2 linked regions of the Tribolium castaneum genome follow. The protein of the gene in region 2 binds, or shares a complex with, the protein of the main gene of each other region. Links are inferred from orthologs where the notes say so. Each region holds a gene or a part of one and is shown on either strand. Other genes may lie near its edges.

Region 1 (4,109 bases), on a different chromosome or scaffold from region 2:
TCGCATGCAGTTAATGGAAAAATAAAAATGCATGTTTATATTTAAACAGAAACTGGCAATGTGAAATTTTAGTGCGAAAATTAGTGGTAGAGCTCGGAAACTCTGTAAACGACCACGATAGGCGGAGCCATGGCCTCCTAGATGTATTGAGACAACTTCGTTGTTCAGGCCTGGCGCATCGCTAAGTTCGGCTGATTCTCCACTGGCGCTGCATTTAGCGGACTGACGTTTATTTGACAAATACCAATTTTGAGGTTAAAGACTAATAAATTTGAAAGATGTAAATGTGCATTCGTGAAATACGTAGGAAATGTGAGGATAATTCTAAAGTTGTGCCCTGAACGAACGTTTGGATAGTGTAACTCTTGCAGGAAATCATTTTACGATCATTAGGATTTTTTATTTTCAGCTTCAGAAGATATACAAATTATTTTAGGGTGAATTGGTGGTTCGTCATCGTTTATAAATATTAAAGAAAACGATGTTTCAAAGTACCTTTCATTTATTAGGCATACTATATGGTTTTACCAATGGTTTAGGTAGAATGCGTTACAAATCTGTGATTTTTAAGACATGGCTTAAGTTTTCTGAAAGGTATTTGCAACCTTTTAATCAGCAGATATTTGCAATACATTGTTTAGGCAAATGAAACTATTTTGCACACACGTATTTTCAAAACCTGCTATTGTTAATTTAATTTTAGTAAAATGTACAAAGAATGTCGTTTTTTTCAAATGAAATGGTTTAAAAAAGCTCGATCCAGCGTTCCTCTGCTGCGTTACTCTCTGCTGGAGTATCTCTGGACCGTCCGTTCCAAAGTCCCTGCCATAGATTATAGTTAATTATAGTCCCTGTCTAGACCTCTGCTCACTCTCACGCACCGCTCGTGAATCACCAAACTCCCGAAAAAAATCTACTACTTTATTAATTTTTTTGAGTTTTTGTATTTATTGTTGTATTTGTTTACAATTACATTGTAAGCTCTTTTTCACCTTCTCTTCTGCTAATTGTACTTGTTAAATTCAATTTTTTTGTCGGATTTAACCTCACAAATGCTATTTGTCAGATAAACGTCAGTGCGCTAAATAGGGCGCCATCTACGGTCTCGAAAAAACCGCTGAAGCTTATCGATGCGCCAGGCCTGAACAACGAAGTTGTCTCCATACATCAAGGAGGCCATGAGTGAGGAGATTGAGCAGTGGCGTAGCAAAAAACTATTCTATGATCAAGAAGGGTTTGAGATTCATAATTTGTAGTAGTTAAAATTTCCTCTATTCAATAATTGCAAGATGAAATAGTAAAAATCATATCTAATGCTAATACACGTTGATTTCCTAAAAATACACAGCAGAGAGGTCGAATAAATAAAAATACACAATGAGTAAAGAGTAAAAACGCGTTTATTGCAAAAAATGTTTCTACTGGTATCTTTACTATAACTGGTAATATTGAAATGTTAAACTTTAAGACGAATTCCCTACAGATGTAAGTACACGCCACGCCACTGTTTTCTGCCAACACCCCTAATTTAAAGATTGGACTCGTCCGAGACGAGTTTTCGTCTCTGCGCACTCCTACCACCGTGGACGATCTGTCATTTCGCGGACTCTAACCTCAAAACAACACGTGTTGGCATTTCTCCAGTTGTTAACGTTTTAGTGTATTATTTTGTTAAAACATGGTTTCCAAACGCAAAAAGAAGGTAACACCACCCCTACCTTACCATTTCAAATGTTTCATTATCACTTTGTAGTACACAACCGGCGAGGGTGCCCAATTCATGACCCGCAAAGCGGCCCTCAAAAAGCTCCAATTATCCCTCAACGACTTCCGCCGCATCTGCATCCTTAAGGGCATCTACCCCCGTGAGCCCCGAAACCGCAAACGTGCCCAGAAGGGCCAGTCCGGTATCAAAACCCTCTACCACGTCAAAGACATCCAATTTCTGTTACACGAGCCCATGATTTGGCGCCTTCGCGACTACAAAATCTTCAACAAGAAAGTCGGGCGTGCCCGAGCTGTTAAAGACTTCGAATCGTTGAAGAAATACCTGAATAACCACCCAACTTTGAAACTCGACCACATTGTCAAAGAGCGATACCCCACGTTTTTGGACGCGTTGCGCGACCTGGACGACTGTCTCACTTTGTGTTTCTTGTTCAGTACGTTTCCGTCAATCCCTCACGTCCCCCGCGACCAGAGTGCGCTGTGTCAGAGGCTCACAATTGAGTTTTTACACGCGGTGATCGAGGCCAAGGCCCTAAGGAAAGTTTTTATTTCAATCAAGGGGTATTACTACCAAGCGGAAATCAAAGGTGAGACCATTACGTGGATTGTGCCCCACCATTTCGCGTTCGAGCCCCAGAGCAAGGCCGAAGTCGATTTTAAGTTAATGTCGACTTTTGTCGAGTTTTACACGATTATGTTGGGTTTTGTCAATTTCCGGCTCTACCACCAATTAAATCTTTACTATCCTCCCAAATTCACAAATTTGAGCCAAACAGACAGTGAGAAAGAAATCGTAGACGAGGGGATTTTTGTGTCAGAACGTGTGGCAGCCCTTAATTTCCCTCTATCCAAAAGTACGAATTCAGCAATTGAGGACGAAGTCGAAATTGATAATTTCAACACTGAGAACAGTCCGGAGAAAATCGAAGAGGCGCGAATTGAGGCTGAAAAAATAAAAAAATTGAAGACACTTTTCAAGGGACTGAAGTTCTTTTTGAATCGAGAAGTTCCAAGAGAACCTCTCGTGTTTATTATCCGTTGTTTCGGGGGCGAAGTCTCGTGGGATAAGTTACTTTTTGTGGGGGCCACGTTTGATGAAAATGACGAGTCGATTACGCACCAAATTGTTGATCGACCCTCAATGGAGAAGCAATACATTTCACGATATTACGTTCAGCCCCAGTGGATTTTTGATAGTGTTAATGCGAGGGAACTCCTCCCTGTTAATAAATACTTTATGGGGGAGATTCTCCCCCCGCATTTATCGCCGTTTACTAACGAAGGGCGGCATCAGGAGTATATGCCTCCGGAGGAAAAGGCTCTGTATGATCCTGAAGCTTTGGAGGAGTTGCATAAGAAGGGAGAAAGTGATGAGGATGCAGACGAAGAAGAAGAAGAAACTGAAAATGCAGACACAACGAACGAACAAGTTGAAGAAGAGGAAGAAGAAGACGAGGATGAAGAAGTTGAAGCGGAGGAAACGGCGCCTGTGAAAAAGAAATTAAAGGTAACTCCAGGTGAAATATACAAGGAAGTTCCTTGGGAGAAGAGTCGGCAAGAGAGGCAGGAATATAAACTTAGGGAAAAGTTGGTTAAAAACAAACACCGAAAACTGTACAAGAGCATGATGGCCGGCCGCAAAGAAAGGGCGAAAGAGATTTGGTTGTTGAGGAAGAAGCGACGATTACACGATGAGAAACAAAAAGAAGAAAAGAAAGCGAAAAAGAAACAACAAAAAAGCGCGTCAGTTTCATAATTATTTTATTTTTTATAAAGTACATAAAATATTTCAGTGGATTAAGTTATGCAATAAATAGTAATCTTCCTGTTACTTAATTGTACATCTTATAAATAAATAGAATTGAAGGAATTCACTAAAAATCTACAGCAATTATTCACATAACAATTAAAAATATACAACAAATTCCCTAATTTATTTAAAAATGATCAACAAAGAGTTAAAAACGCGAATACAACCAGTGTTTTTGACATGATTAGTCTTCGGTCTCGCTTTCATCGTCTTCGTCGAGTTCGGGCATTGGGAAGCGGAGAATTGCTGCAATGCCGGTCAATTGTTCTAGTTCTAGAAAGCAAAAATGATAGTCAGTTGCATAATTTTTTTCAGTGAGCAGTATAGCCCCATCTAAGTATTTTTGAGTTACATAACAATTTTTTCTACAACCTTGTCAATTTTTAGCACGTAAAATTATAACAAAACAAAAAAACGTAACACAAGAAACATAAATAAAAATAAAGGGATTTTTGATGCAATTTTCTCGTGAACGAAATTGTTATTGGAAACTCAGACTCCAAAAGTATATACTTTGAAATTTAACTCAAAAAGAGCATAAAATGTAAAACAGCATTTTTAAGACCTAATT
Region 2 (4,143 bases):
GGATTTTCCGAAATTTCTTTTGGGATTCATAGTGATTTTTTCGCAGTTTTCGATTCTTCTCCGTAGAAGACCTCCTGTAAAGTATATTATGTGTACAAGTGCCATCTATAATATATTTTTCTAGTTAAATAGAACGCTTATGTCTTGTGACTTAGACATTGTATACAGTATTCTGTCGTAATATACAAGTATTATATACAAGGGACTTGTCTCGACCTGTCTTCTTCCAACTTCCGAACATTTTCTTGGCAATCTTCCTCCTCAACCTGTCCCGCATTTCCAAACAACACAACATTTTCCGTAAAAATTTATTAATTAGAATACAACTTGATGGTCCCGTCGGCCCCCGAGGAGAACACCCACGGTTGCAACGGGTGGAAAAGCACCCCAAAGATGCCAAAATCGTTGTTCGTTTCGTGATCCTGCAGCCGTTTCAGGGGCACAATCAGTGGATTTTTCAGCAAGTCGTTGTACACCATCCCGTGACACACAATCAAGCTCTTATCATCGGACCCGGAGGCGAAAAGCGGGTACCGCTTATGGAAGGCCACCCCGCGGACCGCCGTCCCGTGAAGCCTCAAGGTCTGGTACGGCTTGGTGGACAAATCCAGGTCAAACCACAACATTTTGCGATCGTACGTCCCCACTAGAAGATTATCACCGCCTGGGTGTATGGCCATGGTGGAAATCCACTTGGAGTTCGTCAGCAGCTTCTTCATCAAGGTTTGCTTCACCAGGTCGTAGATGCGGACGTGTCGCTGCGTGGCCACAAAGAGGCAGGGTTTGGTCGGGTGGAATAAAACACACTGGACTAGGCCTTTGGACTTGGTGAAGGGGATTTGCGACCTGCGACGGCTGATCTGACTGATTAGAACCGAGCGGTTGAGGCCGTCGGGCATCACAGTGGCGAAGTAGTCGCCCTTGCCGTGCCACGTGACCTGGGCCACTTCCTTGAAGTGTTTGAGGGCGATTCGGACGCCTTGAGTGTACTCTTTCGGGTCGATTGATTCCGACCATTCGACGGTGGTTTTGATTCGTTCGCTCACGATTGCGTCGCTTTGGGGGGCGGTTTCGAGGACCGAATCCGTCTTGGAAGTGATCAAAGTGTCGCCAAGGTGCGGGTTGATTAGCAGGACACGGTTGGAGGCGGCGACAAGGATCAAGGAAAGGGCGGGGTTAGGGCACCACTCGACTGAACGGACCACGCCCCCCGTGTCAATCGTTTTGAGGCAACGCCCGGTATTAACCTCCCATAATTTGATGGTACCATCATCGGAACCGCTCACTAGGTACTGGCCGATTTTATCGGTACTTATGGTACGGACCATGTCGCCATGTCCCTTGTATTCAATCGAGAGAGTGGTGGGGAACGGTTGTAGGTCTTTCGGACTCGGGAGTTTGGGCACCAAAGCTTCAGGCTCGATGTTCAGTTTCATTTTAATCCCACGGGGGCACAAATACAAGTCCAAACAGCGCAAAAACCTCTCTTTTATGTATCGAGGGTACGCTGGAACGTGTCTCAGTGACTCGAACTTTTGTGGCACGAAATGTAATTTCCGTTTCCAGGGGGCGTTTTTATGTTTATTCCACTGTTTGAGTTCTTTTTCATCGAATAAATACTCCGGTGGTGGGTTATATGACTCGGCATGGCCAGGCAGGAGGCGCTTCGGTGCCGGTATGTGTTTGTGAATGCGCCTCATGTCTTCGGCCTGGTCATCGGTGGCCCACAACATGTAAAACTCGGGCTCTTTCTTCGCGCGCAGTTTTTCGGCCTCGGCCCGCGTCTTGATCCAGCCCATCTTCAGGGCGTGCACCAGCTTGGAGACTTTCTTGGCGTCGCTTTTGCTCGGCAGGAAGGAGCGCTTGTGTTCGGGGAATTTCCGGAGCGGTGTTTTCATCACCTCGGACGTGAACCATTCGATCCACGGGGCGTATTCGTCGAAGGTGGCGTCCGGGATTTGGTTGGCTTTGAGGCGCTTGATGAGGTCGATGTCGGCGTCGGAGAGGACGACGTTTTGGCCGGTTTGCGGGTCTTTGACGGTGCGCCAGAAGTCGGGGTCTTCCATGCGCTTGAGGAAGGTGTCGAGGAGGTCGCCCGACTCGGGCTTGATGATCTGGTTGCCGTCCCAGTCGTAGCCCAGGTGTTTGAAGTCGTCGTACCAGTTCATGGGGATGTTGCCCACGGTGGTGCGGATGTCCTCCTCGTCGGAGGTGTCGTGCGAGGAGTATTCGTCTCTTGCTGGGTTGGCGGTGTCTTCGGCGGCGTTTTCTTCATTCTCCAGCTCGTTTTCGTCGCTTTCTTCATCGGTGGTGTTTGAATCGTCTTCATCGCTTTCTTCAATTTCATCATCGGAGTCGTTCAAATCTTCGTCGCTTTCTTCAATTTCGCCATCGGAGTCGGAGCTGTCGGCGTCTTCCCCATTTACAACATTCAAAAGCTCCTAGAAAATTCCGTATTTGCTTTTTTTGGAAATTTCGCTCAAAAACAATGAACTTTAAATTATTTAATACAATTCATTCAAATTTAGGGCCAAAAATAGTAAAAAACGTGTTTAAATTCAAACAGTTTACGCGCCCCCGAGAATTTAGGAATCGCTTAAACTAACCTCATTCTCGACAGACTCTGCACCAGAATCAGGCTCGTCACTTTCCTCGGCCGATTTTTCTAATTTTCGTTTTAAAAACTGTTCTTTTTTGCCCATTTTTACGTTTGTTTATCGGCCACACATGCTAAGAAAGTTGGGTTAAGTTACCACATGTCCCTAGAATAACACTTTTATAGAAGCGGAACATAATGGTTGGCAATGAATTCCTAGCTGAAGCCATCTAGCCGCATCATCACGTACTAAAAATGGCGCGAATTTAAAATAATTCCGATTACTTTATATTTTTTTAATTTTTGCTCACGTCAAAATGATGCCAATACCTTATCAAATACAATTATTATGAAAATTTCTTAATTGTATTTGAAAAGGTGGATGCACAGACAGCACAGATGGAAGAATTTTACCCAACATGACACGATCACATTTAATGTTAAAGATATTTATTAAATCCATTAAGTTTACGAAACTAATAGTCGTCACCGAATCGATGATAAAGACATAGGTCTGGCACCTTATGTTTGCAACTTCTGTCTATGGGAGTCTCCTCGCAGTGTGACTCACTTGCGGTTCGATCTCAAAAAACTCACTTTTGGGATAAACGCACCTATCTACGTAAACCTTCTGGAGCTCATTACTACGTTATATTTTTGGAGATCATGTTGTTCCTAACCGATAGTAGGCAATAGTCTAACCTAAAGACGACACTTTGATCCACTATAATAATAAAAATTAACGTGATATTATAAAAAATAAACTCAAATTAAAATCAACAAAAATGGCGATTCAAGTAAAAAGTGAGTGAAAATAAAAATTATTTTTCTAATGTTATTTTCAATTTGCATAAGAAAATTCATAGTGTACGGTCATCAGGGCACTCAGAGGAATCGTTTGGTGTAAGTTTCAGCTTGAAAATCCAGAAGTAGTTAAAGTAAAAAATTACCAAGTTATACTTTATGTTTTATTACGTGGTAAAGTTAACAACACACGTTAACATACCCTTTATAAACGTTTAAACACCCTTTTTCATGAAAAGGTTGACACGAGAAGTGCATTTTTCAATAAATCTCACTGAAATTTATGTCGTTGACTCAAGGTAGATTTGTCTGTCCTTAAACATGTTCAATAATAATTAATAGCGCTCTAGAAGAGCAGGAAAGCACACAAAAAACATTAAAGTTAAAATTTAACACTTCAGAAGAGAGCATAATACACCCTAACCCTACTTTCTGAACTTTTGTCCTTATCTGGCAATAGCACATAATAAAGGTAGAGATTTCGACCCTAAATATCCTATCATAACGCTCTGAAAGGGCAGAGATGGAGACAAAATTCATAAAAGTGTAAATTTTGTCATTTTCGGGTGACAACATAACCCTACTTTTGGAACCTACCGAATTTTCAACAAAACGAAACAAACAAACAATGTGGCTATACGCATTGCGATACCACTAATTTTCGCACCAAAATTTCACATTGCCAGTTTCTGTTTAAATAAAAACATGCATTTTTATTTTTCCATTGACTGCATGCGAAACTT

Evidence for each region. The genes of interacting proteins can lie anywhere in the genome.
Region 1: ribosome biogenesis protein BOP1 homolog (region 2) and pescadillo homolog share a complex: the UniProt entries of both Homo sapiens proteins name them as parts of the peBoW complex. The link is inferred for Tribolium castaneum from reciprocal best matches to the Homo sapiens genes BOP1 and PES1.

Annotation. Positions count from the first base shown.
Region 1 is NC_087395.1:18,780,140-18,784,248, reverse strand, and holds pescadillo homolog, read left to right. Parts: upstream 1-1,375; 5' UTR 1,376-1,678; coding exon 1,679-1,702; intron 1,703-1,753; coding exon 1,754-3,484; 3' UTR 3,485-3,609; downstream 3,610-4,109. Other genes in the region: pelo (protein pelota), read right to left, coding at 3,723-3,811. UniProt on the Homo sapiens protein: Component of the PeBoW complex, which is required for maturation of 28S and 5.8S ribosomal RNAs and formation of the 60S ribosome.
Region 2 is NC_087401.1:14,822,193-14,826,335, reverse strand, and holds ribosome biogenesis protein BOP1 homolog, read right to left. Parts: upstream 2,801-4,143; 5' UTR 2,703-2,800; coding exon 2,607-2,702; intron 2,442-2,606; coding exon 312-2,441; 3' UTR 295-311; downstream 1-294. UniProt on the Homo sapiens protein: Component of the PeBoW complex, which is required for maturation of 28S and 5.8S ribosomal RNAs and formation of the 60S ribosome.